4 linked regions of the Oreochromis niloticus genome follow. The protein of the gene in region 1 interacts with the protein of each later gene in a pairwise test. Links are inferred from orthologs where the notes say so. Each region holds a gene or a part of one and is shown in the gene's direction. Other genes may lie near its edges. The genes, in order: ccnc, ndufv2, meox2a and nmnat1.

The links.
Region 2: the proteins of ccnc (region 1) and ndufv2 interact in binary tests that used the Homo sapiens proteins (3 or more experiments, as listed by UniProt). The link is inferred for Oreochromis niloticus from reciprocal best matches to the Homo sapiens genes CCNC and NDUFV2.
Region 3: the proteins of ccnc (region 1) and meox2a interact in binary tests that used the Homo sapiens proteins (3 or more experiments, as listed by UniProt). The two-hybrid records come from large-scale screens. The link is inferred for Oreochromis niloticus from reciprocal best matches to the Homo sapiens genes CCNC and MEOX2.
Region 4: the proteins of ccnc (region 1) and nmnat1 interact in binary tests that used the Homo sapiens proteins (3 or more experiments, as listed by UniProt). The two-hybrid records come from large-scale screens. The link is inferred for Oreochromis niloticus from reciprocal best matches to the Homo sapiens genes CCNC and NMNAT1.

What each region holds. Positions count from the first base shown.
Region 1 is NC_031980.2:6,953,195-6,960,242, forward strand, and holds the start of ccnc (cyclin-C), read left to right. Parts: upstream 1-4,026; 5' UTR 4,027-4,250; coding exon 4,251-4,311; intron 4,312-4,994; coding exon 4,995-5,175; intron 5,176-7,048. Other genes in the region: pgm3 (phosphoacetylglucosamine mutase), read left to right, coding at 30-149, 234-356, 599-772, 896-985. UniProt on the Homo sapiens protein: Component of the Mediator complex, a coactivator involved in regulated gene transcription of nearly all RNA polymerase II-dependent genes.
Region 2 is NC_031982.2:24,772,336-24,779,430, reverse strand, and holds the start of ndufv2 (NADH dehydrogenase [ubiquinone] flavoprotein 2, mitochondrial), read left to right. Parts: upstream 1-4,093; 5' UTR 4,094-4,215; coding exon 4,216-4,257; intron 4,258-6,046; coding exon 6,047-6,100; intron 6,101-7,095. Other genes in the region: acss2l (acyl-CoA synthetase short chain family member 2 like), read right to left, coding at 132-235, 400-491, 2,030-2,225, 2,378-2,501.
Region 3 is NC_031976.2:32,487,963-32,495,362, forward strand, and holds the start of meox2a (homeobox protein MOX-2), read left to right. Parts: upstream 1-4,394; 5' UTR 4,395-4,895; coding exon 4,896-5,448; intron 5,449-7,400. UniProt on the Homo sapiens protein: Mesodermal transcription factor that plays a key role in somitogenesis and somitogenesis and limb muscle differentiation. Required during limb development for normal appendicular muscle formation and for the normal regulation of myogenic genes.
Region 4 is NC_031984.2:22,077,635-22,084,812, forward strand, and holds the start of nmnat1 (nicotinamide/nicotinic acid mononucleotide adenylyltransferase 1), read left to right. Parts: upstream 1-4,173; 5' UTR 4,174-4,310; exon of another isoform or gene 4,311-4,332; intron 4,333-4,711; 5' UTR 4,712-4,725; coding exon 4,726-4,840; intron 4,841-6,027; coding exon 6,028-6,211; intron 6,212-7,178. Other genes in the region: protein LZIC, read right to left, coding at 1,582-1,637, 1,720-1,801, 1,961-2,056, 3,070-3,168, 3,293-3,428, 3,601-3,701.

The sequences.
Region 1 (7,048 bases):
CGTCCTGTGTTTGTTTGTGTTTGGATCAGGTGTTGTTCAGCAAGGCAGCTGAAGAGAAAATCCAGCAGCTGGCCGAGGACACAAACGTCAACGACAAGAGGAAGAAAGCAGCTCTCCTGCTGCGAAACACGATCAACGTCATCAACCAGGCACGCTCACACTGACATCCGTGTTGAACTGAGCTCATGCAGACACCGGAGCTCTGTTGTTAACGTCGATATTTTCTTTTAAAGACTGTAGGAGATGCCATTTCTGACATGCTGCTGATTGAAGCCATACTAGCCATCAAAGGGATGACTATCCAGCAGTGGGACACCATCTATACCGACCTGCCAAACAGGCAACTTAAAGTCAAGGTGCTCATATTGTATAGTTATGTATTATATCCAGGATATAAAGTGTGAGTGATAGAAAGAAATACAGCACTTTACATTTAATTTACAGCAGTGCCGACCCAAACTAAGGAGGCTTTTATTTTGTTAGATAAACATTTGTGTACTGTAACCCTGCACATAGTAGAGTGTCTGTGTCTACTTCAAGCCAGTTAGAGATAGTGGCTCCTGAGGGTGATCTTTTTTCTTTTTCTTTTTTTCTGTAGGTGGCGGACCGCAGGGTGATAGACACAACAGATGCAGAGAGGCGGGCGGTGACCCCAGCAGGCCTGCAGGAGGCCATCGACAATTTAGTAAAGAAGTACAGACAGGCTCGCTCCTTCGTGAGGCCCTCCGGCACCGAGGATGTGGTGAGAGTATACGCAGAGGCAGACACGCAGGTGAGAAATCTATTTTCCAAGCTTTCTCTGTTATTGATTCTCATGGCAGTGTTACTGAGGTTAAAAAATATCTGGAAGGGAATTGTTTTGTGAATAATACTCTGGCTCTCTGTGTTGTTTCAGGAGAGTGCTGACGCCCTGGCACACGAAGTCAGCCTTGCTGTGTATCGCCTTGCTGGAGGAGTTGGGGATGAACCCAAACCATTGCATTAGAAGCACAATCACACAAACACACCATATTGATCAATCAGAATTACAGAATTGCTGATCATTATTTTATTTTTATTTTTATTTTGTTGAAGTCAGGTGATACCAAATGATTTTATATTGTCTTTATTTTCCTTGTATTACTGTCACTCTGATGATGGGGTACACATTAGGGGAATTAATAAAGGTTGGGGGAGTTGTGTGTGTGTATACATAAAATTCAAACAGTCAAACAACTGGTTTTAAAGAGGGTTGTCATTTCACTTGGTCCCAGATATTTGTGAGCAGTTATTTTAAATAATTCCCTTCATTTTCATTAAATCATGTAAGTTTACATAACGACTGTTGAATCGGCTTTGCTGCTATTATTTGAATTAAATAATGGATAAAGAGGAGAGTGGGGGTTTTTTTAATTACAGTGAAGTAACACTGATAGAATTCTATGATTGAAATGAAAACCACAACTATGTTTGCAACATTCTGGATAATAAAACATGTATTTATAAGTTACACTTGTAACTTATAAATACATGCAGGTTATCACACATTTGATTTCCATGTGTGACAACTGTAAGTGTCCAGAGTCAGGACAGACTGAGGGACCCACTGCTGCAGATGATCTGTGAGACTGCACCCCTGATGATCCACCAGGACAAACTCAGCAGTGTCTGAAGAAGAGTCGGCACCAGCTGACAGACTGTTCCCTCTGTGTGAAGGACTAACAGAAAAGTTTAAAATAACTAATTATCTGTCCTGAATCAGTCTTATTAGGTAATGTTAAAATAATTTTATCATTCAAGTGTTTTCAAAGTGGGAGTAAGTACTCAGGACCTTCAAGTTAAACACTATGAAAGGCACTAACAAGTTTACTATTCAGAAACCTAAAGTATGTATCAGTAGCAGAATGTACCTAAAAATAAATGTCAGTTTTTTTCAGTTCTATGAAGCTTTGAGTATTTTGGATTAGTATTACTGCTGTGTTAGTTGCATCATATTGCTGTAATTGTTTATATACTTTATATATTTTGAGGTAAGTTGATCTATAGTGTTACATCATATTCTATGAGGATGCTATGTGTTTGTATACTTTCTGCCCAGTTTGACCCATTTACCAGAAGTCGGCCTGTTTAAGGCTCTGATATCTATTCTGTATCACTTAAAGCAGTTATGACATGGTATGATTTTCTCATCCTATGAAGGCACATTTAATATATCAGTGTACTCTTCATTTTATCAGAAACAGTTCTCACAGCTCGTACATTTTCTTTTCACACATATATGTAAACATTCAGACAAATTTAGTAATGCCAACATATTAAAAGAACAATATTTGTCTCTTATATATAATACTTGTACATATACATATAAATATTTATATATATATACTATTATATATACTATAAATATAAATAACTACAAATTGAATCTTTACTGAAGCTCAGTATTTGAAACAGAGTTTAAACTCACTGCTGTAATAACTAATAATGATTAATATAATAATAAATTTAATATTGGCCATATTATAGTAACATTACCAAAGTGAGATGACTTTAGTCTGATGAACAACATTAGCTAATTGTTATTTAATAGCTAATCTTAAAATTACTGTTCCGTACAGAAATGAAGCCCAACAATCATGTTTTTACAGTCCCGTTGTCTCAGCCTCAGATACTTATCAAATCAAACAAAGCTCATATAAAAACAAAGAGATGAACAAAAAAAAGTCTCCCTCATTTCTGTCAAACAATGCTGCATGAAGCGTTTTTATCATGGTTGTATCATGGTTGCTAGGCAACCTGAGCAGCGTCCCATTTCACAAGCCTTGCACTTCCGGCCTTCTTGGTCTTCGGAGGACCCGGCCCACGTGGACCGCGAAGGTCCGGTCCTCCGAAGGATGCAGCCCCTAAATTGGGACACAGCCTGTGTTCTCTGTGTCTTCCTTGTCATCCTTGTCTCTGCCTTTGTGTGTTTCCTGTTTTACTTTGAAAGTCTGTATCCAGTGTCAATGTACTGTGTTTTGCTTCCTCCCTGCCTCGTCATGTCTTATTAGGTTCAGCTGTGTCTCCCTCCTGTTGCGTATTTCCCTCTTTACTTGTGTGTATTTATGGTGTGTGTTTCCTTCTGTTCCTTGTCGGTCTGTTTTTGTGTGTCATTCCTTCATGTTGCCTTCGCGTTTCTCCTGCCTCCTGGTTTCCTGTTCCTTCCCTCTGCTCACCATGCTCAGGTTATTTTGTTATTCTTAGTTCTGTGACAATTTTATGTGAAATTATATCGCACTAAGAAAATAAGATGTGTTATGAGACATTTTCACTAAGTGAGACAAATTATTATGATGTGATCTACTAACAATGCTCTATGTATACAAAGATTCAGACTGTTTACTTCGGTGAAACCCACATTCAGCGCGAATTAGTGGTTTTAAGAGCACATATAGTAATGCCTGAATGGTTCAAACACACTAACAGTTATATTTGTTGCAAATTCAGCAGAGAGAAGTCACTCACTGTGCACTCAGAGCTGAGAAAATGAAGCTTATGAGTTCATTTCTGTTTAGTTTCATGAAAACGGTGTTAAGAAAGAGAGCAACTGCAAATTTTATTTTCAGTCATTTTATTTTTCTATTTGTTATGTGCATCATTGTACTTTTTTGCATCTGTATTTTCTTTAACTTTTCTGTAATAATTCTGATCTTAAAGTGGTTTAAATGAGTGTCTCTTTGTTGAGGGCAGCCTTTTGTCTCTCCAAAAGAGTCCTTCAAAGCTACTCTAGAGTCTAAGAACAAAACACAAAGCAGTTAATTTGGGATGAAGAAAAATAGACTACTATCAAATGGACTTGATATTATTTCTGAGCATTTAAGACAATCTTTCATGCCTTCTTCTCCTAGCAGTTGGGAAATATGAATTTTGTTAAAAATCTTTTTTTTTTTTCTTTTTTTTTTTTTGTGGCTTGTTGGTTTAGGGCCATGATTCTCACGTTGGGTGTGAGAGGTACTGGGTTCAAATCCCAGATGAGCCTGTGCGGTGTTTGGGGCTTTGCTGAACTGTTCATGCAAGTATGCATATATTGAAGTAAACTAACAGTGACACTAATAGAAACTAAATGAAAGCAATTCAAACAAAAACTAAGCTGAAATAAACGGTCACATTAGAAAGTAAGTTAAATTTAAAAAAGAAGAGAATGCTAAACTACAGTAACTCTGCAGTTACCCCACCCACTGTAGTAGAAGCTGACTTGTGTGAGTGGGGGCAAAGGAGGTGGCTGACTAAAGATGAGCAGCCTTAGGCTTAGTGTCGTGGAGGGCGAACGGATCCAATCCTCAGCATTACAAGGTAAGCAGATATCTAGGTGAAGTGTGAGTCCGACCATTGCTGGTTCTCCATGTTTTCCAGAGGAAGGGTCAACTCGAAGACTGAACTTCAGGAAACACAAGGAGGACTGCCAGGGAAACTGTGGTTACTTTTGCTGGATTAAATTACACGAAGGTTGGCTGAGTTACCGCTGTAGAGGAAAAATGTTCAGGCAGAGAACTTCTGCCACAGGTGCTCCTTAAATACCTGGTCTTGATGAAGGGAAATGACAAACCGTAGCAAGCCTGTGACCATCAGTCCTAACAAAAACGATACAAGATATCAAGTAATCTTGAGCCACAAACAACATTCCTATCGCAAGGAAGAAGCTGCAAAGTTTTTGGCACTTTTATAAATCCTTTGTAAACTAGATAAATAGTGTAATTGGCATTTAAGTCTTTTTAAGAGTAGTCTGGCCAAGACGATAGCAGAAATTACAACGCATATAACAATAGGTTTATAAAGATATTTAAAGTGCAGCAGCTTTTAGGCGCATTGGGGATGGTCATTTTTCACCAGATCATCTGCTCATCTATGGCGGTAAATCACATTTGTTACCTTGTTTTCTCCTGTGATTTCCCTGTGTAACTCTGTTATCATCTCCCTAGTAACAGCACCTTGGTTCATTCCTCTGTCTCCGTACTCACCTGATTTGTCTCCATTAGGTTATGTGTTCCATACACTGCTACCTCCACGTTCATACTTCATTCTCTCTACTCCTGCAAAAGAGAGAACCGGAACTCACTTGCCTGCTCTCCAGTTCTCTGCCATTGATTACTCAGCTCTGGAATATTCCTCTGTTGCCTGCAAACGGCCGACTCCCTCCTCTCCGTTGCTGCGAATCAAGTAAGGCAAACTCCGCTATCATATCACACAGTCCCCGCCTTAGGCTCCATTTCAGAAAATCCTGCACAGTGAAACTCCCCCTATGTTTCGTTGTTTCCTGCCAAACGATAAACCATTGGACCCTCTGGGGTCCAGTGTATAATTGGCCGGTTTTGGATTACTTTTGATTTTACCTCCGTGTGTGTGTTGCGTTTATCTGGCCTTGTCTGGTATCATTCTTTTTGGCACAACCTCACATGTCTGAATTTAAAGTGATTATTTTTCATTTTGACATAATGCATTAACACAATTAATCTGAGTTTTTATTTATTTATTTATTTATTTTTTAACAGTCAAAAACCACAAGCGGGTTTAACGACTCCTTTTCATAACTTTAGTTTATTTTAATTTAAACTTTAAAAACCTACAAACTGAAATGCAACGATTTACCTAAAAATGCAGCCAATGTCTCAGCTGTTTTTCATCACCATTTAAAACTGTTTACAGCATAATCAGGTGCTCTACATCAAAGGCACACAAATTACACAGGCCTGCAAAATAATGTTTGGTAAAGTCTGTGTGTGTTGTGTGGTTGTTTTTTTTTTTTTTTTTTTTTTAGGGTGCTCAATCCATCATGTACAGTTTATTTGTTTTTGTGTTTTTGTTTTTTTTTTTTGCACGAGGAGTTTACAAAAAGCACAACAGCGATGAAAGAAATATTTTATTACAATTACCTAGGCATAATTTTCCTAAGATTCCTTGCCTTTCATTATGAACAAAATAAACCTGGACATGAAACCGGACATGATCGTCTGAGCATTTTCTATTTGTATTTCTCTTCAGTCTTGCGTTTAGAAATATTAAATTCATGTAAGAAATCATCCTACTTTGACTCAAGTAGGATGCCAGATTTCAGCTTAAAAGGGGAAATTGTACAGTTAATTGCACTAAACATGACTTTTGCAAGACAACCTGACACGATGGAATTTTTAAAAATATTTTTTCCGGTTTCAGTGAGTAAAAGTCTATAAGAAACAGTCAAAATCGTGTGTGTGTGTGTGTGTGTGTGTGTGTGTGTGTGTGTGTGTGTGTGTGTTTTTCGGGGTTGCTTCACCATGTGCACTGCCTCCTCTTCAGAAGCAACAGATTTCAAACAGTCATCCACATAAAAGTTTCTTTTGACTGGATCAACCACTTCAGCTGGAAATTGCTGTGCATTCTCATCTGCAGTTCTCTGTAGAGCATAATTTGCACAGCTTGGTGAAGATGCTGTTCCAAACAAATGTACTTTCATCCTGTATTCCTGTGCAGGCCTTGTAGTGTCACCATATTGCCACCACAGGAAACGGAGCAACAGACTCTGGTCTAAATCTGATCAGAACTCCAACCAGTGAGTTTCTGAGATCAGGTCCCTGTAGAAGCTGACTGTTCAGTGATGCTCCTTTTTATAAGTTGTTCCAGTCAAATAAAACTCTCCTTGCCCTTTGGGATGATGCACTCCATGATGAGGAATGTACCACACCTTTTCATCACTTTTCTGCAACTCATCTGCAGGCACAAATTCAGCATATCCTTGTTTAAGCATTTTGTTTACACATGCAGTATATTCATCCTTACAGCAAGCATCCTTTTCAAATCTCAGTCTGAGACTCTGGGGATGCTACTTCGCCACACAGAGGTTATTTGGTAAGCTGGGACTTTCTCTTCTGAAAGGCAAATCAATGTGATAATAATTTCCAATAAGTTTTATTGAGCTACTAACAATATCCATGAAACACAGATCCCCCTCTTGATATTTCAGTCTGCTTCTCTGATCTTTCACTAAGTCATGGTTGTACTGTTTAATCAGCATTTCTTCTAGACTCTCAACAGAAATCCTATTGGCTGTTACAGC
Region 2 (7,095 bases), on another chromosome or scaffold:
AAGCGAGTCCTGTGAAGAATTTGAAAAAAAGATGAATACCCTAATTTAAAATTTTTTTGAACAGGAAAAAAAAAAGATTTTTCAGTTTTGTAAAATTGTTGCATATGGTGCAAAGTCATAATAGTACTTACCACAATAGAGTGAACAGCACCTATCCTGGCACAGGCCAGCATTGTGTACACAAGCTCTGGGATCATCGGTAGGTAGATAGACACTCTGTCTCCCTTTTTCACACCTTAATAAAAATATATATACATATAAAACAAGTTACTACCACTCTGTATCTCTGAAACTAAGTTTGTCAGCAAAATCTGTAAAGGTATACTTCTGTATTATAATCATGGACTAAATAATTATGGACTAATCATGGACTAAATGGCCATAATCTCAGGTTCTCACCCATTTGCTTCAGCACGTTAGCACAGCGGCAGACATGGCTCAGCAGCTGGCTGTAGGTGATGGCCATTTGATGATCAGGTGAGTTTCCCTCCCTGATAAGACAGCAAACAAGAGAGAAACTTTCAAATGTATAAATGTATTACAAAACCTGTCTGTGATTCTACAGAGGTCTCTTGGTCTGTTTTGGTAAACAATTGCACACAAAAGTACTTTCCCACTTTCCCCAACAGTGTTGTCCGGTGAGTTCTTTGAGTTCACAGTAGAGATAACCTGTTCCCGTTGTTGCTAAGTCTATATCAGGCTTGGATGTTTGTCAGGATAGTTATTTGGAAAACAATTTGGCACACTTGAAGGGGCAGCAGAAAGCATGGTACCAAGCCAAATGGGAATGATGAAATAAATGACTGCAGAGATGAAATTCTGCAACTGATAAATGACTTCAAGATGTGATAGAAAATGTTGTAACTCAGCTCTGTGTGAAATAGCCTGCATATATGTTGTCAAAGTCTTTATTTATTTTTTGGAAAATGTACAGCAGAGCAAACCAAATTCAGTCATGGCGTTCCGCAGGGGTCGATCATGAGACCTCTTTAATTCCAACATTTATATGACTCCACTTGCAAAAATATGAGATAATCAAATTTCCCATATTTAATCTATACTGATCTATACAAATACTATAGAAGCAGATTACTTTTATATTAATATGTGTTTATTTTTGATTTGTCGCTTAAACTTCTTTCACAGCCCCTGATTTTTGTTGAAATGGGACTCTTTGCAGCATTTTTGCTGTTCTATTTTTTTTTTTTTTTTTGGCATTGTTCTACCACTTTAGACAGTTGTGCAAATTATGCTTGGACAAAGCGTGAGCTAAGGTCCCATGAGTGATCGACTGTTGCTCAAAACAAACCATGTGGAAATTGATAACTTGTCACCACAGCTGATAGTTATAGTTTCCTTACAGAGTGTACTAAAATAGTCATGGCAAACACGTAAGCAGGTATATCATACAAGTGCTTTGTTTTAGTGTAAACAGCATTAATGCTCTCCTACAGGTGATTTCCAGTATGCCAAGTTCCACTGAACCCTTATATTGCTGAGCATGCAGAACAACCCTCCTGTTTGCTAAGCTTAAACAGTTGACAGAGCAAATAATAACTGTCATAATATAATGATAAAACATCATAAAGTAGAGGCTTTATTGTAATTTGACAAGGGCGCGGGGTGATCAGCACGCAACTGCAGGTTCAAATCATTTAAATGGCTTAAAATTTAAAGCTAGAATAAGTTTAAAAATGTAATGTGTGTACATTCATCTATCAAGTGAAGTTAGTTGCTCTAGTTAGACTTTTTGTAGTTGATTAATCAAATAGAAATAGAGTTTTGCATTATAAAAACAATAAGAAATTGTTAGACAGATAGTGTATAAAATCTGTAAACTGTTATCTTCTGCTTCTGACAGGAAGAAGAAGCACTGCTGTAGTGATGTGTGCTGCCTGTGGTTTGTTTTGGTGTTCTGGGGTCAGCACAGGGGACACAGCAGTTGTTTTTGACTGGAATACTTAGCATAACTCCAGACAGCGTTTCCCATCATAGCTATTATTTCCTCTGGGGGCATGCTGGTGCTTACCAGTAATAGGCAACCTTTTCACCAAGGCTCCCCTCCCTCACATGTCTGTCCAAGACATTATAGCACATGTTGGTTTTGGCCCCCTCCATGCATTTCACATAAATGCTCCCTTTCGTCACATCGAAGTTGTATTGCAGCACCGGCTCTGTTGCAGGCTTCTTCCAGAAGAACTCATCAGCAACCTCTTTCCAGAAAGCTAAAACAGAGGATACTTTTGATCAATGTTATGGGATGCAGATAAGGCAGATTAGCACAAAGAGATACTGCATGCAGACAGGCTCAAAGGGATATGAATGGCAAGGAAGCACTGCAAGCGCTGCACTAAAAATACAGACAAGTTTGACCTACCTTCTGGATTCTCCAGAGACTTTTGGTACAATGCCAGATATGAGTTAAAGTCGGGCACATGAGCATCCTTCTGCAGGTCATTAAGAGGGTAGTACATTTTGTCCTGAGACTCAGGAACAACCATTTTGGAAGTACAGATGCAGACAGGCCTATATCATCTGAGAGTGAGTCAGAAAATGGTATAATCTGAGTCCCTGCTGGTCTGTCTGAATCCTCCTGGGTGAGGTAAGAACACTACAAGGCCTGTACTGAACCAACACAATTCAGCATGCAGAAAGACCCACCCTAATCCCTGATCTGCAGGCTCTGGCTCAGTCTGCTTAGAGTCAGGGCAGCCAATCAGCTCATGGAGTGCAGCACTCCCACTTTTTCATTGGATGAGCCATCCCTGGCCTGCTGATCACATTATGTTTCTAAGCAAGTGGGTGGTGGAGGAGGACAAGGAGGCGGTATACCCCCAGCAGGATAAATGCTGGGGATTCAGGCAAACATTTATTTTGAAAGGAGGAGGCTGATGGGTGCTCTTGGTGAAAAGAAGAAAATAATAATAATAGAGACGTATGAAACAATTATTCACTTTCAGAGTAAACAAACAAACCCTGCCCAATCCCCAATGTATGTCTGCTATGAGAGACAGCTCCTGAATCCTTTTAACACTAACATTTCATAAAACTTAGTCTTTTAAAAAATACATTTCTTATAGAAAAGCTCACTGTAAAACCCCTGCTTCCAGCCTGCTTTGCTTTAATTCTCTGACATTGCAAACATTAAAAATAGCACAGTTAAAAAATACCCTTAGAGAAAAGAAAAAAATATTCCACTGACAAAACACATGTGAAAAACTTAAAAAACAAAAAAACAAATACAGAAATAATAAAAATATTTTATACTCGGTAGAAAATAAGTTATAACAATTTAACCTGAGACAAACTATTATTCGCAATTTTATAATGTCCGCTTCTACTTTCAGCTGCTCCCTTTAGGGGTCGCCACAGCGGATCATCTTCCTCTCACCCTATCCCTCCTATGTCACGTCAACATTCTCCCTGTCCTGTTTCACTGCATCCACGAATCGCTCTGCTGATGCAGTGATTTCCAGTCTTGTTAATCCTGGTCACTCCCAACGAGCATCTTCAACTCTGACACCTCCAGCTCTGCCTCCTGTCTTTTTGTTACAAGCACCGTCTTCAGATACTGCAGGTCTCACTACAGTCTTTTTCATTCGTGCACATGTGTTCTATTCTGACTATAATTCATTTTCCCTGGAGTGCATACCTCCACTTCTCCAGGCTTTTCCCACCTGCTACCAACTCTCACTACATCAGAATATACGAAGACTCCTGACCTCTGTCTGTCAACCTGTTCATCACCACAGCAAACAAAAAGAGGCTCAGAGAGATCCCAAAGGTAATCCCACTAAATTTATAGCAGTATTTTTACTGCAGTATGTTGTCTTTTTAATGAGCACTTTTATTAAAGTAATATTAGATATTAGTTAAAAGTTTCTTGTGAAGCATTTTGTATAATTTTGTTTGACCGTTTTTACTGCGTCTTTATTTCTTGTACTCTGTTATTCTGTTATCATATTTTAAATGAAAATGTTCAATATATATTTGCATAATTTTGTTTTTTGAATGTAGAAGAAATTTTCGCAAACATTCAACGTTGATTGACTTTGAGCTCCAACTTGAATCTGGGATCGATTCAGCGCAGAGACGTACAGACGTCACGTCGTGCTTCAGACAGTATGAATCGAACCTGAGCGCGCTTGTGTTGATGTCGGCTACCGCTGTCCCGTTCATTTCCTAACGCACCGGGACCAAACTTCAAGCGACAAGATGTTTCTGTCTGCTGCTGTTCGCTCTGCAGTGTCGCAGGCGGTACGGTTGTGATTTTTTTATGGTTCTGGGGAAAAGTTTGGGTGCAATTTTAGATAATTTGGAGAAAAAAATGCTATGACTCTTCACAAGGGCATGCAGTGGAGGCCGCTCAGCAAAATGACGTTGGGTAACACTAGCATGCTAGCTAAATTAGCTTTCTGCTGTCAAACTTTTAAAAGGCGATCGCTGGAAAAATGGGCAGCGAAAGGAAAACATACGCGTTAGAATGGGTTTTAGCAGGCTCGTTTACATGCAATTGGCTTTAACTTCACCCTATATAATTGCTTGCATGGCTACTGTAAATTCACAGTATGGCAAAACACAGCAATATGAATCACCTCATATTAATCTAGCTGGAAACTTGGATCAGATAACACTGTTTGCGATTTACATAAAATAATGATTTACATAAAAGTGGCTCTGCACAAGAATCGTGAAGTTGTTTTGTTTATAGTAACAGCTTGCGAAAGCTTTAGATCCGTTAAATATCAATTATACTGTGCAAAGTTTCTACTAGTAAAGTAGTAAAACTGCACATTTGTTACTGTACATGTACTTAAGCTATCCAAAGTAAAAGTATTCACTATGCAGAATGTCACATTTCACAGTCATACACATTACATCGTACTATCAGATCATAAATATTGATTATATAAGTATAATCAATCCAACATTGCAATTGGGGCTCATTTTAATTGTTTTGTATACAGCTCTGCAGCTTAAACTTTAATGATAAGGCATAATTTGTTACAAGATGTGTATTTAATATTATGGTGATGTAGAATTATTCGCAGCTTAAGATTTCAAGAAAATTCAGTAGTATAAATGTAGTACAGCAAGTAATTTCTAAATATAGTGGACTAGAAGTAGAAATCTATAGATTTGGGGTTATTTAGTTTTCGTAACTTCTTTCGGACCAGTGGGAAATGTTAAAATATACACTAAGAGGTTTATTTTACACAACTTTACCCACCTTTACGCTATTGTGTCATACTTTATGTAAATATGATTTTCCAATAAGCATTTTAGTGGCATTTTACACTTCACAGCTTTAGAGGAAGTTTTCTCAAAATATTTTTTTTCTAATACTAGAAAACAAAAATCTTAACTTTAGGCTCAAACCTTCCATTTTATTGCTGTCTGTATTTTAAAGATTTATTACTAGTATAGTTTTTACATTGAGCCAGTCAGTCAACAATTACCTACAGTCTTTAGTCTTGCAATCTTTGGATCATTGATGTGAGATTAATATTTTATTATGTCTAAGTGCATCAGTTCTGTTTAAAATATGACTTGAAGGAGTTTAATCTACAGACAAATAAGACATTTAGAAAACTAACAGATGATCTTAAATCACAATGTTAATTTGACATCTGCAGTTTCACCCCTTCCAGTTCCTGGTTCACTTCAAACTTTTTTACTCGAACACCTGTATTAATTTACCAAGGGCACACATAATTTGAAAATAAAATTAAAATAAAATAGAAATTAAGTTAACGTTTACTTCAATATTATCCTAGTTTTACATAAAAACCTCATGTTTTTGGTTGCACCACCTGATGTTTTGGGTTTTAGTTATCGCTGAACTAACACAACTTCAACTTAGGTCTTAAAGAATGAACTCCTGCAAGTCATGAATTGGATTCATTATTTTTAACATATGCTGTGCACTCAAAAGTATTGCATGTAAGTGACATGTTTGCTGCAAGAAATGTTGGCATTTGAGATCAGTTTGAATTTAGTTCCATGACATCACTAGGTATTTTACCTGTTTTCTTCTGTTTTGCAGGCCAGGAGTCTGCATCAGTCTGCTGTACGTGCTGGAGCTGGTGGCATTTTTGTGGTGAGTGGCACTTTCTGTTCCTCAGTGCACAAAATGTGTAGAAGGTGACAGACAAAAACAGAGAGTACATGCGGATGCTGTACAGGGTTTTTTTTATACTTTGTGTGAGCTCATCATGGTAGGTTACTACAGATCAGCAGCTCATGGAAAATTTTGTAAATTACAGCAACAATTTGTAGTCATTTCTAATATTATCTATATTACTACTAAGTTTAATTGTTACTGTTCATTTTTCAACTCAGTCAGTCTAGCTGTTACTATGTCACACTAACATTGTTTTTTTAAAGTTACACTGGGGCAGAAGTTCACTTACTTCTGCAATGTTTGTCTATTATTGAAAAATGAATTATTCATGTAAATACATTTTAGAAGGGTTAGGAAAAAGACTTGCCGATGGGCTTCATAAAACAGGATTAAACAGCAACACCATATCAGCTTTCTTTACTTGGTGTATGCATAAACAAATTTTCACAAGCATGGACTTTAATCATGAAACTTTTAGAAACTGTATTTGTCCTAGCCTTGTCTTATTTCAAAAGTGTATTCTGTCTTAGTGAGTGCTGCTCCAAAACCGGGGTTACACAGGTCACGGGAGATGTGGGAGTCCGATTTGCATGTAACAATTGAGGCAGAACGATGGTCGGAATAATGCCAGAAATGTTTAAATGTAACCATATCAGATACAGACTGACCCATTACAACATTCTCCATCAAACTTACATTACGCCACAAAAATTAAATAAATATAAACCAGTTTCCTCTTTGAGGAGCGTTTGTGTTTTTGCACAAAGGTAAAGGCATTCTGGCATGAATTTTCCAACATTACGTCAAAGGTTTTAGAGCTACTCTTTCCATTAGATCCTCAAATATGATTATTAGGGGATTTTAAAGGTTGGTACCCAATTACGAAAAAAGCCAACAGAAGTTCCTGGAACTGGCTCTATGTGTTGTTAGAAAGTGCATAACCATTATGTGGAAGTCTGACTTCCAACTAC
Region 3 (7,400 bases), on another chromosome or scaffold:
CCCTATCATGTAAACAGAAATGCGTCGAATCTCATGTGAGTAAAAACACAAATGTATTTTTCCCATCTCAAGCCAGAGTTAGTCCGATTGAAAATGACAAAATGATTTTAAAGCCGTCACAATTTTTTCTTTATGCTGTCTTACTGTCACTCCCTGAGAGGGCTGCCGTTCTCTTTATGCAGTTGAGCTGTAAACGGAGACAACTTTTACTGTCTCTCTTCATCATATATCACTGACATCCCGCGATCCTGCATACGGACAATATTCCTGACAACTGCTGTAAATCTGCGGCTGAAGCTTGAAAGGAAATGAGCAGCGACGACAGTTTCCACACCACCCGCATACATTCATCCCGACACAGCCACTGTCCCTGTTCTGTTATTACTCACAAAATCAGCTCAGTGTGATATGGTATTTGTCAACGAAGCTGTAGCACATTTAAGTATTGCCTCCTTATTAAGAATCTGAGTCCTAAAAATATGTTCAAGTTACGGAGCCTGACAAAAATGAGGAAAAACTACTTGCTGCTACTAATTTGAAAGGGATTTTCTATTGATGACAATCGTGAAAATTGCTTGTCTTCCAACACGTTTGCTTGCAATTTTTATTAAAAGGGATAATAATAAAATTTATTTTTAAATAAAAATCACTGTACTCACTCCATCTTGGGTAAGGAGAAATCAGTGTTCTACCTTCTGCAGGTTTCTACTTATTTACAAAGACACTTCGGTTATCACGTCCGTACTTCGCTGCACGCTTTAGAGGCTCACTGAGTGTTATACACTCTGAAATGTTTCCATATTAGCCGGAGACTAAAACAAGAGGAAAAAGTTTAATACTGATTACACACACACTGGGCCTTTTTAAATGCTCATATTAGACTCTGAAGCCGAGAGAGCCGGCATCAAAGCTTTTCTGTAGTGAAGCATATTACACATCCGGGCCCGTTAAATTTGGGAATGTGAGTGCAGCAAGTGGCAGCAAGAATAACTGAAAGGATTTAGTTTTATCATAAAGTCTGGTAAGCTGGTGTGCCAGCAGATTTCTTTTTAAATGCAGTATATAAATATATAGTGTTTTGTAACACACTCTAAAGTTGCTGCATGTGGACATAAAGGCAGCAATTATAACTTCTCCTAAAAAAGATATTTTACATTATTACATCTGTGTTTTTCTAATTTGTGTTTGAACGTGAGCCCCATAATAACATATTTGTTACATATTAACAAATATATTAACATCTTTGTTCACTGCCAGGTGCCATATAAGGCTCATTTACATGCTAAATAAAGGAAATATGAAAACATACCGTTACCCTTCTCTCATTTTTTCATTTCTTTAATGCATACAACACACTTTCAACACATTATTTCTTTTATGCCTCTGTTGGATTTTTGTTTGCTCTGTTTGCTTTTGATCATATCATTGCTTGTGTGCTTATCTGTGTAGTACCTCTGTATTGGCCTATTGCGTTTCCAGGTAAGATTTTTTCCTTCCAAGCTCTCAGGGGCTTTTAAATCCAACTACACAGCTTCCTTCTATTCTTTTCTTCTAATTTTTGCTCTCTTTTGTGTTTTGCCTACAAGAAAAAAAAGAAAAGAAAAAAAAGAAAGAACCCTTAGAAATTTTAATAACATGTTAAAGAAAGGCAGATATACTTTTTCACTGTTTTACATTTCAGCAAAAGCCAGAACTTTCACTGTTGCTGGCTGGTAAAATTTCAGCAATTAGACAAAGTTTGGTAATTTAGCAGCAAATGACGATGTTAACTTTAAACACCATCACACACTCTTTAAATTAGTATAAGAAAAGGAGTAAAGTGGTAGCTGCATGTTTGTTTTGGTGACGGTGGCACTGAGCTGTGGTTGCTGTAATGTGTCCTGCCTGTGGGACTGACTGACAGCCACAGGTTGAGCAGCAGGTCTTTTACCTTCAGTTTCTGTGTACTGCAGAGAAAACATGCTGCCCCGAGCCCCGCTTTAAGATCATCGCAAACACAGCCTCTTGGTAGCCTCTTCTTTTGAACTTTTTATGCTTTACACACACACTCGCCTTAAAACGTCATGTCACATGTCATCACATAAAAAGTCAGACAAATGTGTGCTTTTGGAGGCCAACACAGGTAGCGGTGGATTTACAGCACCACGGTTTGTGCCAGTATTCAGAATATCATCATTCTTATTTCCAAATAAGAGTTGTTGGGTTTTTTAAAATTTCAGAGTTCGAACACATTTGAAAATGCATTTACACCATCATGTGACACTAAATATCTTCACTGAATACAAACTAATGACGTTTACTTTTAGGGTTAGGCGCTCTTAAAGGCACAAAATGTAACCAGTGTCAGGGATTACATTTAATTTATAAAAAAGAGAAGCTAATTAAATATATAAAATGTGTAAAATATTTAATTGCTTTTATGAGGGCAATAAGACTCTTTGATCCTTCATTTTTTTAACAATAAAAGATGTCGGCTTTAACTATGAATGTATCCCTATTTTACACACCAACACTCTCTCACTTATTCACACACAAGAACATTTTGCCTCATAAAGCTCACAAGGGCCAAAGACTCGGACCGACTGAAAACACCCACGCCACAGGCCATCGGTGTAGCGAGACCAGCAATAGGATTGGAAACACGTGTGTAGTAATACCTGCTCAAGGCCCTGAGCAAATATATAGCCTGGGCTAACCTGCTAATAGCCTTAATTTGTAAGATAAACAGTAGAAGAGTTTGACACTCACTCACCTAAGGTGCCTTTCCTCTGCTGCGCTGCCTCTGCTGCCTTCAGAGGCTTTGGAGGGACTGGGGGGGAGCGACAGCGGCAAAGTTACAGCCTGCCTCCGCCATGCTATCTGTTAAAGTAATTTTCCCTCAAAGAGGAATTAATTTCCTTTCTCAGGCGGCTCACAGAGCCCCATGGCACAGCCTGACTGGATCCCTAGAGTGTGGAGTCATCGTGACCGTCTCCCTCTAAAACCTGGCCGAGCCATGAAAGCTCTGAAGCAGCTTTGACTTTTAATTTTGTTTTATAGATTATATTGATTTAATTTATCCTGTGTATTCTTTTATTTCATACTGCGGGCAGTGTGCAAGTGTGCTTTTGAATTTTAGAAAACAGAAATAGGAAGGAAAGGAGATATCTATCAGACGATCATTCATCTGTATTTCACCGAAAATGTAAAACACTTAAGTTACAATTTAATTCTATTATATGAACCATCAATATCACACAAAGTGTTACATTTTAAATTACGTGACTAAGAAAATGTAATTGTATAGAACCAGATTTTTATAATTCCCCCATTAGGTCAATACCATACAGCTACAAATCATTATTATGTCTCATCTTTTTCTTCCAAGACTTTCTGTCTTAAATGAGGTTGACAGGAGAAAAATAAATGAATTTTATTTGATTTTATTTGAGCTTTAGTTGAGCTCTGGATATGAATAATTAGAGAAAATAAGAGAAACCAGTGACACATTCACAGCTGTTTCCCAGCTGCTATTTTCCCCCTACTTCTCACAAAGAATGACTTTTCTTTTATAGCCAAACAAATTTAAAGAGAGACACTAATGTTAGGAGCAAAAAATTTATGAACAACTTTCCTTCTGTTCATTTCCTTCTCTACACACGAATACGCTCCACATACTAATATTTAATTTATATATATATATATAAATAGAAATTGTTACAGGCATAGTTTATATAAAAACAATGTGTTGGCATCTACAATTGTATAAAATAGCATTTCCACATTTGCCACAGCAATTATTGGTGATAAAAAATAGTGGAATAAAGTTTGTTATTTCAGGAAGCAGATTTGTGACCTTCACGACCTCGTATCAAAAGTCGAAATGTATCCATATCGGTTTAATGATGTGTTTCATTTCAAAATGAGATAAACACCATTTCCAAAAAAAGTCACATTCACAAAATGATTGGTTACACTACATTAAAAAGGAACCGTGGTCATTCTAAGTCTAGCATGGGCAAAACGTTAGCCTTCCTTTCACTTATGAAAAGTTTGGTTCCAAAATATTTGTTTCCAATAAGTTGCAAGTCTGCGTTGCAGTGACAAAATAGCTCTCTTAACATCACATGATCGTGATAGTGATGGCTTAAAGTGACCTTTAATGGACGCTACAAGCATCCTTGCCCGCTACCACCAACTTTTGACAAAGATGGGGTGACACGCTGAGTTAACCTCTGACACCTCTCCTTCGCTCTCTCTTCACACTCTCTCCCTTCCCCTCATACGACCTCCCTCTCCCTCCCCCAGCCCCACCCATGAACCATTAAGGCTGTTTTCTTGTAGGAAAAAAAGATGGCCACCCGAGGTCAGATCCAAGTCCAAAATAAATTGCCTTCTTTCCTGAGGCTCAGCCATTTTAATAGTACAGATTTATTATGCTGTGCTTTTTGGAGGGTGATCATATGTATGTGGTCAGTAGCGCGTATGCAGTCTATGACCCAGCCTCCCTCTCACGTTACACCCTATTTATAACATCCCCTGCGCTGGCTCCCCTCGTTCTGCAGTTCCTAGGAACCTCCTTCTGCTCCCAGCCTCGAGCTCCAGTCCCGTGTTCCTCCTGACATCTGAGAGGCTCAGCTGCAGCTTGTCCTGGGCTAACTGTTTATCCTGTACAGCCTGGCAACTGGCCGCATGCTCTGGATTACCACAGGACACCCATTTCAAAACACATTTTACTTGCTGCTCTGACCATTTTTTCCTAACTGAAGAGAAAAGTTTTGGGATAGTCAAGGAAGAAAGGGAAGCATCTTGGATATGCGCTTGTGATCTTTCTGATTTTGGTTGATTTAGTAACATTGCCTCTTACGCTTGCCCTTCTCACCTTTCCCGGAGGGCCGTGTGTGTGTTTGCACACAATGGATCACACACTGTTCGGCTGCCTGCGGAGCCCCCACGCCCCGGCGCAGGCCCTGCATCCCGCCTTCACCCAGTCTCCTCTGGCGCTTCACGGACGCTCGGACCATGTCTCCTACCCTGACCTGGCCTCTTCGTCGTCCTCCTCCTCTACCTCCTCACCCTCGCCCTGTATCATCTCCAGCTACCCGGGTGACGACAGCCTGTTTCCTGGGCAGCACCACCACCACCCTCACCGCGGCCACCTGCCCTCCCAGCAGCATCACCACCCACCTCAGCACCATACATCTTGGCATATCCCGCAGATGCCGTCACCTGGCAGCAGTACTCGCCACAGCCTTTGCCACCCACACTCCCACTCATCTCACGACAATGGGCCCACGCCTTCAGACCTGGGCCACCCCGGTGGGCCCAGTATGTGCGCCAGCACCCCCAGTCTAGGCAGTGGCAGCACCCCTACAGGGGCCTCTTGTGTGCCTGCAGACTTTGGCAGACAGACTTTGTCACCTGCTGAGGCCGAGAAGAGAAACGGCAAGAGGAAAAGTGACAGTTCAGGTAAGAGAAGCTGGGATTTTCCGAAGCGATAAGTGAAGCAGTTCTGAAGGCAGAGATTTCATTCGTGTGTTTTTTAAAGCTGACACATTGCACAACCCGAGACTTCATGTAAAATACTTTGGAGGCATTTCTAAAATGTCTTTGTTCATTATTTTACTTGGATAAACATTTTAACATAAATATCAGCATTTAAGAAATTCCACACAGAGCTCAAGAATAACAGAAACATCTGTACACATCACTCTAAATCATTCAACAGCACAACTGTTGGGAATTCTGCAGCTCTGATACAAAAACAAAAAAACGTCTGGAAAGCGGTTTGTAGGTGCCGGCTGACACGCAGCAAGGCGGGAGGCGACAGGCGGACTGAAGCGTGGAGCAAAGGCCACATCATAAGTGTGCAGGCACATCTGACTACTGGCATGTTTTGTTTAAAAATCACATCTGGTTTGTTGCAACACTTTTTAGAGAGCTGAGAATAAAGAGGGCAGTAAAGAATTAATGTCATGGATTGTAAAAGACTACACCGGTGCCTCATGGCACACTAAACAACCGGGCGGACGCAAATTGTTTTCATTTACTAAAAACTGCAGTTAAAAGAAATCTCAGGTTTACTGAAGTAAAATGAAAGACTGGGAAGTATTTGTAGTGTCATGTTTAACAAAGGCCAAGTTTAGATAGGGAACTTACTACTGTTACAAAATGTATGTAGCTAATCATATTAATATTTGACCTTTTTTCATTTATTTTAAATGATCTTATTATCACAAAAAAAACACGCCACTTAATTCCTACAAAATTTAAAAGACCATTACAAGTTTCCTTTATTTTTATCTACAGGCAGTTGTTCAGGACAGTAAAGCTCCCGAGGGCAGTGAGCTTTAACACACCTTCTTGTTAAATTTTACATTTGTGATTCTCCCAAAAATCACCCATAAATTATGCATGTATAATCATTTAATTGCTCTTGAATCGGGCCTCATTCATACAAATGTATTTAAAAATTCAAAACCACAGATAATTATAAAAAGCACACTTCTCACAAATCATTAATAAATAAACACCTTTTTAATACTATATTTAAATTGATAATAAAGCAGCTGATGACCTGCAAAACCTTTGCAACCTGCAGGCACCACAATAATCAGTCACACGATGATAAATGGCCGGGGTCGAGTCGCAAGAAATCTCACTAGCAAAGTGATATCAGTGAGAGTTTCTCATAGAAAGTCTGCTTGCCAGTTTGTGTCCATTTGAGGATTTCAGCCTGTCATTGCTAATCCTGCACCCTTTGGATAAGGTCTCTGTACTCGCAGTGCATCATCTGCAGTTGACCGGTGATATTCCCACATCTCCACAGGATACTTGGAGAGTGTGTTTCTTCCCCCTCTGACTGGTTGGGTGTTGCTGTAGCTGACAACAAGTTTATATACCAAAAGTTAGGGAAATATAACAGGATTAACTTTAGACTGACTTTAAATAATAACACAAAACAAAAACACCACTGGCACTAATTTAGCTTTCAATCCAAATTCCGTGGTGATTATTAGAAACTCCATAAGTGAACTGAAATATTTGCCATTTTACAACATAAAATGACAGATTTCAACATTTTATTTTCCTTTGCACTAAATGTCCAGTTGTCCACATGCAAAATGTTGAAATAGTACATTTAACCCATTAATTCATCACTCTACCTCCTACTCCCTTTCCTCTTTTGTCAAATCACTGGAAAACTGAGCCCTTGCCTCCAGATCCCACTTCCTCTGCAACAATAGTCACTGCATACTCATTACATGTGCAGCGCATTCTCCCAACGCTAACACCAATCACGCTGATTATTGGGGCTAACTAGGCTGCTGACTCAGTCAGCTGTCTAAATATCAGAGCACTGCCTGTTGCATGAGATAGAGCTCTGATTAGGTTTCACCATCTGGACGAGAAACTTGAGC
Region 4 (7,178 bases), on another chromosome or scaffold:
TGAACAGCAGGTGGGTGGGCCTCCTGTGCTGAGAGCATATTTATGATACCCACTCTCAGTGACATCATACAGAGCCAAGATTTGAAAAATGTCTGAAGTGAACCTTGAGAGCAGTTTGAAGCCAAATCTTTAGGCACTCCGGGACGACTTGAATGTTTGCCGATCTCATTATTTCAGACTTTGGCCGTGTTTAAAATGAGCAGCCATGACTGTAACAGTGAACACACTGATGAGATACTTTATTAGACTTAACCTGCTAGTATCAAGTTGGACCCTCCTTGCCTTCAGAACTACCTTAATTCTTTGTGGCAAAGATTCAAGACGGATACACGGTGGTCATAAAGTGATGGACATGGCCTGCAGTAATACTCAGGTAAGCTGTGGTGTTTATTCGATGCCCAAAATGTTTGAAGACAACAACCATGACACTTTCAAAGTCACTTTAAATCTGCATTTTGGTACTCTGTTTGACCATGCCAACATGCATTAAGTTGCTGCAATGTGATTGGCTGATAAAATATTAATGCTGATGAGCAGCTGAACAGGTGTACATAGTGGCAGGTGAGTGTACATGGCGGGAAATAAAACACGAAGCCTGTTGTTAGTTTTCTTTTTACTCACATTAAAAGTAGCAAGAATATCAAGATTAATGCTGTAAACATTGTGACATTCACTTCTACACAGACTCTGATGCGAGTTTAAAAACTATCAAACTTCATCACTGTCAATATGAAACTACAGTCATCAGTTTGAATTACATGATAATAAATGCATAGAGGACTCATTAAAATAATGGAAACACCCAAGTGACACTGAATAGTGGTAAAGCCTCTCAATTCATTACTTCATCCTGTAAAATCTTTGTATTTTCTCTGTATTTTCTCCATGAACAGACTGAAGACCCACACTATTAATAAAACTTTATGATTCTCATATTCTTGGACGACGGCTGCTCTAATCCACCCTGCAGACTCAGCACATTTCAACTAAACTGGTCAAAGACTCGTCAAGTTTTACTAAAGATATCATCAGACTCTACATCCCATCGGCACACAAGTGGTTTACAAATGTATTCATATATAAATGCAATTGTAAATTGGTTATAGTGTACATATTAATCGAGGCAGATCCGATCATCTGAAGCGCTGTAGTTCTGACACATGCAGTGTTTCTATTATTTTATCCAGAGTCCTGCAGACGGCACAGTTCTAGCTGAAATAAAACTACACCCTGAAGGAAATCAGCATCATAAAAACAGCACTGTTGAATGTTGAATATTGAAATTTTGGAATAAAGAATCACTGCACAAACCACAAGATCATAATAACAAACTGTCTGCGCCGTCCTCTACATTCACGCGCCTTTTAACAAATCACACGCTCGTACCTAAAATACATTTTTACACTTTATCTGGACGATTAAAAGACATTTACAAAGATTGACGTGTACATATAAAACAATACTGTTAAAAAGTGTCAGCGTCTGCAGTAGCACTTAAAAGCGCACTGATTGTTTAGAAAATCCATAATTGGATGGCACATTTTTGTCTTAGTTAAAAACACACTTTTTTTTGCAGAACTGCTATGACTTTGTTTTCACACCAGAGCTAGCTAAAGCCATTATTTTGTCTTCAGACCCTGAAAAAAGGAAGGCAAAATGAGGTCAACAGAAATATGTGAGAAAATATCTGTCTTGTAGTAAAATCACCTTTATGCTCACCTTGGTTTGCAGTCACTTTTTCAAACTGGCTCAGGGTCGCTGTGGCGTTTTCAGTGAGGAAAGTCTCGTCTTCTGGGGTGAGCTGTCACGTAATTACAACATGAGTGAAAGGAAACATTTGAGGCATTTCGAGGCAGCTAGTGAGGGCTGCATGACTGAAATGAATCAGTTCAGACTTTACGTGGCACAAGCCGCTGAATCATCCTAGACTCTAATCATGTGTGCTCTGAGTGCTCCTCACCTTCTCCCCCAGTTTTCTCAAGGCAGTGAGGATTTCCATTTTCTGCTGCGTGTACACGTCCCGTGACAGTTTTCCCACCATCACATCGCGGTCCATCTGCACAGTACGTCACACACCGGTTGGGAAATTGTCAGGCAAATGAATCTCCACATAAACACTGAGGTGTGACTGAACTCTGCTGTTGTGGTCAGAAATTTGCGTACAATCGTGGCAATTTGGGGCTTTTGATAATTTCTTTGAACTGTTCTTCCAGAGTGAAACAATTTCACAGCAAACATCTTTCATGATATTAAAAAAGAAGAATTTTAAAACAACGTTGAATTTTTGGGGGATTTCCTCCAATCCACACAGGCTGAAAATAATAGGCTCAAATATAGACATACGCTCACTTAAATCTTTTAATAAGTGGCGCTAAAGGTTCTACATGTCTTTTAACTTGAAAAAATTAAGTTCTACTAACTAAGCTGTTTTGCTGCCAGTGTCACTGGTACACTGTGCAAAGTGGATGAAATAATGAAGGATGAGGAATACCTCAATTCTTCAACTTCACCTCAAATGAACACAACACATGATCAGAACAATGATCCCAAATACACATCAGAACTGGTTTCAGTTTGGATAAAACAGGCTAACATTAAGCTTTTGGAATGACCTTCCCAAAGCCCCGACTCCATCCTTGTTGAAAATGTATGGACTGCGTTTAAAAGTCGTGTCTGCGCCAGGAAACCAACCAATTTAACTGGATTCTGCCAACACTGCCAAGAAGATCGGTTAAATATCCAGCAAGAAGTATGCCAGAAGATTGTTGATGTTATCCAAAAGTGGGGATGACAATTTAACCAAATATTAGTGGGGGTGTATGTTTATGTTTGAGCCTGTATGGTTTAGAGAAAATCCAAATTAAATTCAATCTTGTGCACACAATTCATGTTTTTTCAAGTCATTAAAGATAAAAAAGAAGTAATATAGAAAGTAAAAATGAAACATCAAAGAAATCATTAAATGCCCAAAATTAACATGATATTCATCCACATGGGTGGGTGTGTAAACTTCTTACCACACTCTGTGTGTGTGTGTGTATTATACAATATAAATTTGACATTGCAAACCTCTGCCAGTCTGCTTCTCAGCTGTCCTGGCTGCTTCTTAGCAAAAAGTCGTATCACCTCCGGGGTTTTGAAGGCTTGGCTGATGGCAGCTTGGATCGCCTGATGAAGACAGAAACATCTGAACGTTCTGATATTTTACTAATCATCAGTTTTCTTAATCAATGTGCTATAACATATTTAATGCACTCCTAATACACAGTAGTAGCACATTAATTGTCCATACCAGTTGCATCCCACTGAGTTCATCCACAAGTGTCATATCTCCTGACATTATTTTCTTTAAGGAGTCATTGAATTCACCCAGCTGCTCCAAAGTTTCCTTCTTTGTCTCTTCGTACTCTTCCTCATCCAGATCTTCTCTGGAATAAACAAATGAAGGAATGAAAACCGAGACACAACAGAAGAATAGAGAAGCATTTATTTACCCACTGTTTTTATTCTCTCTGTTATCCTTCAGGTACTGCATGCCAGATTTTCATATACAAAAAGCACACAGGAGGAGTTTATTGTTTTTCTTTTTCTGTACTACACCTGCATTCCTCCAGGTCCTGAAGCTGCTGCATTAGTCTGTCAAGTTGTTCCTCCATATTCTGCTTCAATTTTCCAGTTTCTGATTTCCCTCGAGAGGCCATCTTCAGTTAAAATCCTATTTTTTCTACGGGAACTGGGAGAACTGGCACCAAACAACAGATCACGTTAGGTTTTGTTGCTGAGGTACTTCACAGATAACTCAAAGATGACCTAACGTGCTATTTCCACTCGATGAGTGCAGAGCTGTTGGAGTCAGTGGAAAAATACATAACATTTTATCAGATCTAACAGTCTCTTTGGCGACTACACTGACAGGATAAATTTATCTGTGTGTTGGAAGTTCATGCAAACAGTCCAAGTTGTTTTGTTAGCTAAACAGCTAGAGTGCATGCTAAAAGAAAACACCTTACCGGGACTTTCTTTGTAAACAGCTGCAAATCAGCCTTAGTAGAATGTTAGCATTTGCTGAAGAGTTTGTCGTAAAGAAGGTGGCCGTACTAGAGGAAAATTTAAAAATTACTTAAAAACACGGCTATAATACGTTTACTATTAGTCGAGACGTTTGGGATTTGGGGAATTTGTGATTGTGAACGCAGCACCACCAGAGCGGGTGCGGTTCACCTCTTCCTGGTCTATTGTGTCCAATCAGATTAGGGGATCTTACAGCGTAGTCCGTGACGTCAAAACAGGAAGCGGGTGAAACACAAATGGTATCTGTGGCCGTTTCTCTTGGTACTACAATATTTGACATTATATTAAAAACGCATAATTTGTTTTTGAGTTAAGCACCGAGTTCATGCTTTGTCTGTTTAAGGGTCCTGTACGTGAATCTTTGATGGAAAAGGAGCTGTGTGCTCAATAGATAAGCTAAAGTTAGCTACTTGTTATAGTCGAATGCTAACGTTTAACGAAGATAAAGCGTCAAGCTTTAGTTTTCTTTACATTTGTAGTTAATTAGTTAATGAAGCTCACAGACTCTAACTTTAAACGAGGTTAAACTACTCTCTTGATACAAATATACCGTTTCCTCCCCCCCACAAAGCGATTCTTGACATGTGATCAGCCAAGTTTAATTTGTCTTCGTTTCTTCTCCTTGTTTGTGCAAACCCAGGTCCAGTATGAGCCATGGAGGGTCACAGTATAACCAAAGTGGTCCTGCTGGCCTGCGGGTCCTTCAACCCCATCACCAACATGCACATGAGGATGTTTGAACTGGCTCGAGATCACCTGGAAGACACAGGTTGAGTTACATGACAATTGGGTCTTTTATTGCGATGCATCTCCACCTTTATCAGTTATTCATTAATTTTTTCCCAAGTTTTGTGAACACCACAGATTTAATTCAGTTACCCTCCATGCTCTTCAACTGAGTTATTCTAAAGGCTAAAGTCTCAAATATTATCATCATGATTTAGTTAGTTAGATTTAGTTAGTTCTCTCTGGGTACTCCAGCTTTCTCCCTCAGTCACCCGACGTGGAGACATGCATGGGGTGATTCTAAAATTACTGTAGGTGTAAATGTGAGCATGAAGGGTTCTCAGTTTCTATATGTTAGCCCTGCAACAGACTGGCAATCTACCCAGGATGTACCCTCTTGCTTTATGACAGCAGGGATAAGCATCCAACCCCCAGCAATCCTGAAATGGATAAACAGAGGAAGATGGATGGACAGGCAAAAATTAAGTGAAATGGGTAGCTTTGTCTTAAAAAGGGATTGTGAATCAGTACATTGGAGAGACAAGTGTTTTGGATAAAATTGTTATACCTATAGTCTAGTTCAAGAAGGGATTATGCTTTTGTAAATTGATTAATATGACACTACAGAAAAGCTGGCAGTATTTTAATATTGCATTATTAATAGACACTATTAGGTTGTGCCTCATGTTTCATTTGGGAGTTTTATGCCAGATGCCCTTCCTGACCCAACCCCAACCCCCAACTTCTCTCCAGCTGGAATCACTTTGCATTTCACCACATATTTTGATTTGGCAGATCTTTACACTGGATGCCTTTGTGTCTCCTCCTGGGATCAAACCAGGGATCTTTTTGTTTGTTAGGCTAATGTGTAAACCACTACACTATCGAGCTACAACCAATTATTTATTCAGTAAATGCTGGTTTCTTTGATTCTGGATTCTGTTCTGCTCAGACAGTTTCCCATGTGTCATTTCTTGTCTACTCTACTGTTCTGTCCAATAAAGTCTAATAATTCATCTCAAAAATTAAAAGAAAATACATTATGCAGGAAAAACTGAACTTATTTCAAATACTATGCAAATTTTACACTTATTATTATATTTTGCAAACTTGTAATGACCTTTGTATATGTTTGTAGGAAAAGTACTAGTAATAACTAGTAATAATTGGGGTCAAATATAATATTTTACCTGACCAGTACTTAAACACATGTCTTCTTTTGTGCGTAAGGTCAGTATAAGGTGGTGAGAGGAATCATCTCTCCAGTGGGTGATGCATATAAGAAAAAGGGCTTGATTGAAGCCTGCCACCGTCTGGAGATGACCCGATTGGCTACCGAAAGCTCAGACTGGGTTATGGTGGATTCCTGGGAGAGTTTGCAGCCAGAGTGGGTGGAAACAGCTAAAGTAGTTCGGTGAGTTGGCATTTCTTGCGTCTGAGTGCTGGGAGTGCTTTTGTGTGGTGTATGTGGTTTGTCTTGAGACAAAAACTGTGTGACACTACCTGTGACCTTTACTGTTTTGTTATCTGTTGTTTTCTGATTCACCTTTATTACTGACTCACCCCAAGCTGCGCACTTCTTTCTCTATTATCTTAACATTATCACTGCAAGTAATAAACCTATTAAAATACTGATTTCCTAAACCTAAAGCATCTTTAAATGACATGTGATGTAGATAATTACTGGGAACCTTAATGGTAATTGATTTATGAATTCTTTAGATTTGGTTTGTGTGTGTGTGTGTTGCATCATGTAGTATGAACTATTTTTACACACAAAGCGTCAAACTCCCTGCAGTTACACTGGCTCACACACTGCTGAATGATAGACTCTGTATTTTTCAACACATGTCTTGAAACTTTTTATCCTTTTCTAGATAAATTAATTCTTAAAGTAACAAAATCCATTATGGAGGTTTGATTTAAACCTTAGGGATTAAAATTAAACTTGTGCAGGCTTAATTAGATATTAGATAATTAACATCATTATGCCTCACATAAATGAAATCATTATTTAGAATCTTTGTCATCTGTTTTCTCGTGGCAACAGGAAAAGGAAGAAATGCAAGTCAGGAAATGTGAGAGCCTTTACTGGTATGATACTTGATACATGTTATGATTTGCTGAATACTTCCCAGAACTTTGCAGGTGCAGTTCAAACAAGATAGAATCAGACAAAGTCAATCAAAATTCCATAATTATTTAAGGTGAAGGCTGAAATTATTAAATGCTGATGGTGTAAAGAATCTGAAATAGTATCCCAACTGCAGCCTCACAGACCTGAAGAAAAAACCCCCCATAAAAGGCACAAAAGCAGTTTAATAATAAGATCAAATGCGTTTAGCATAATGAGAATTGGATTTTGGAGCACTCATTTGCTG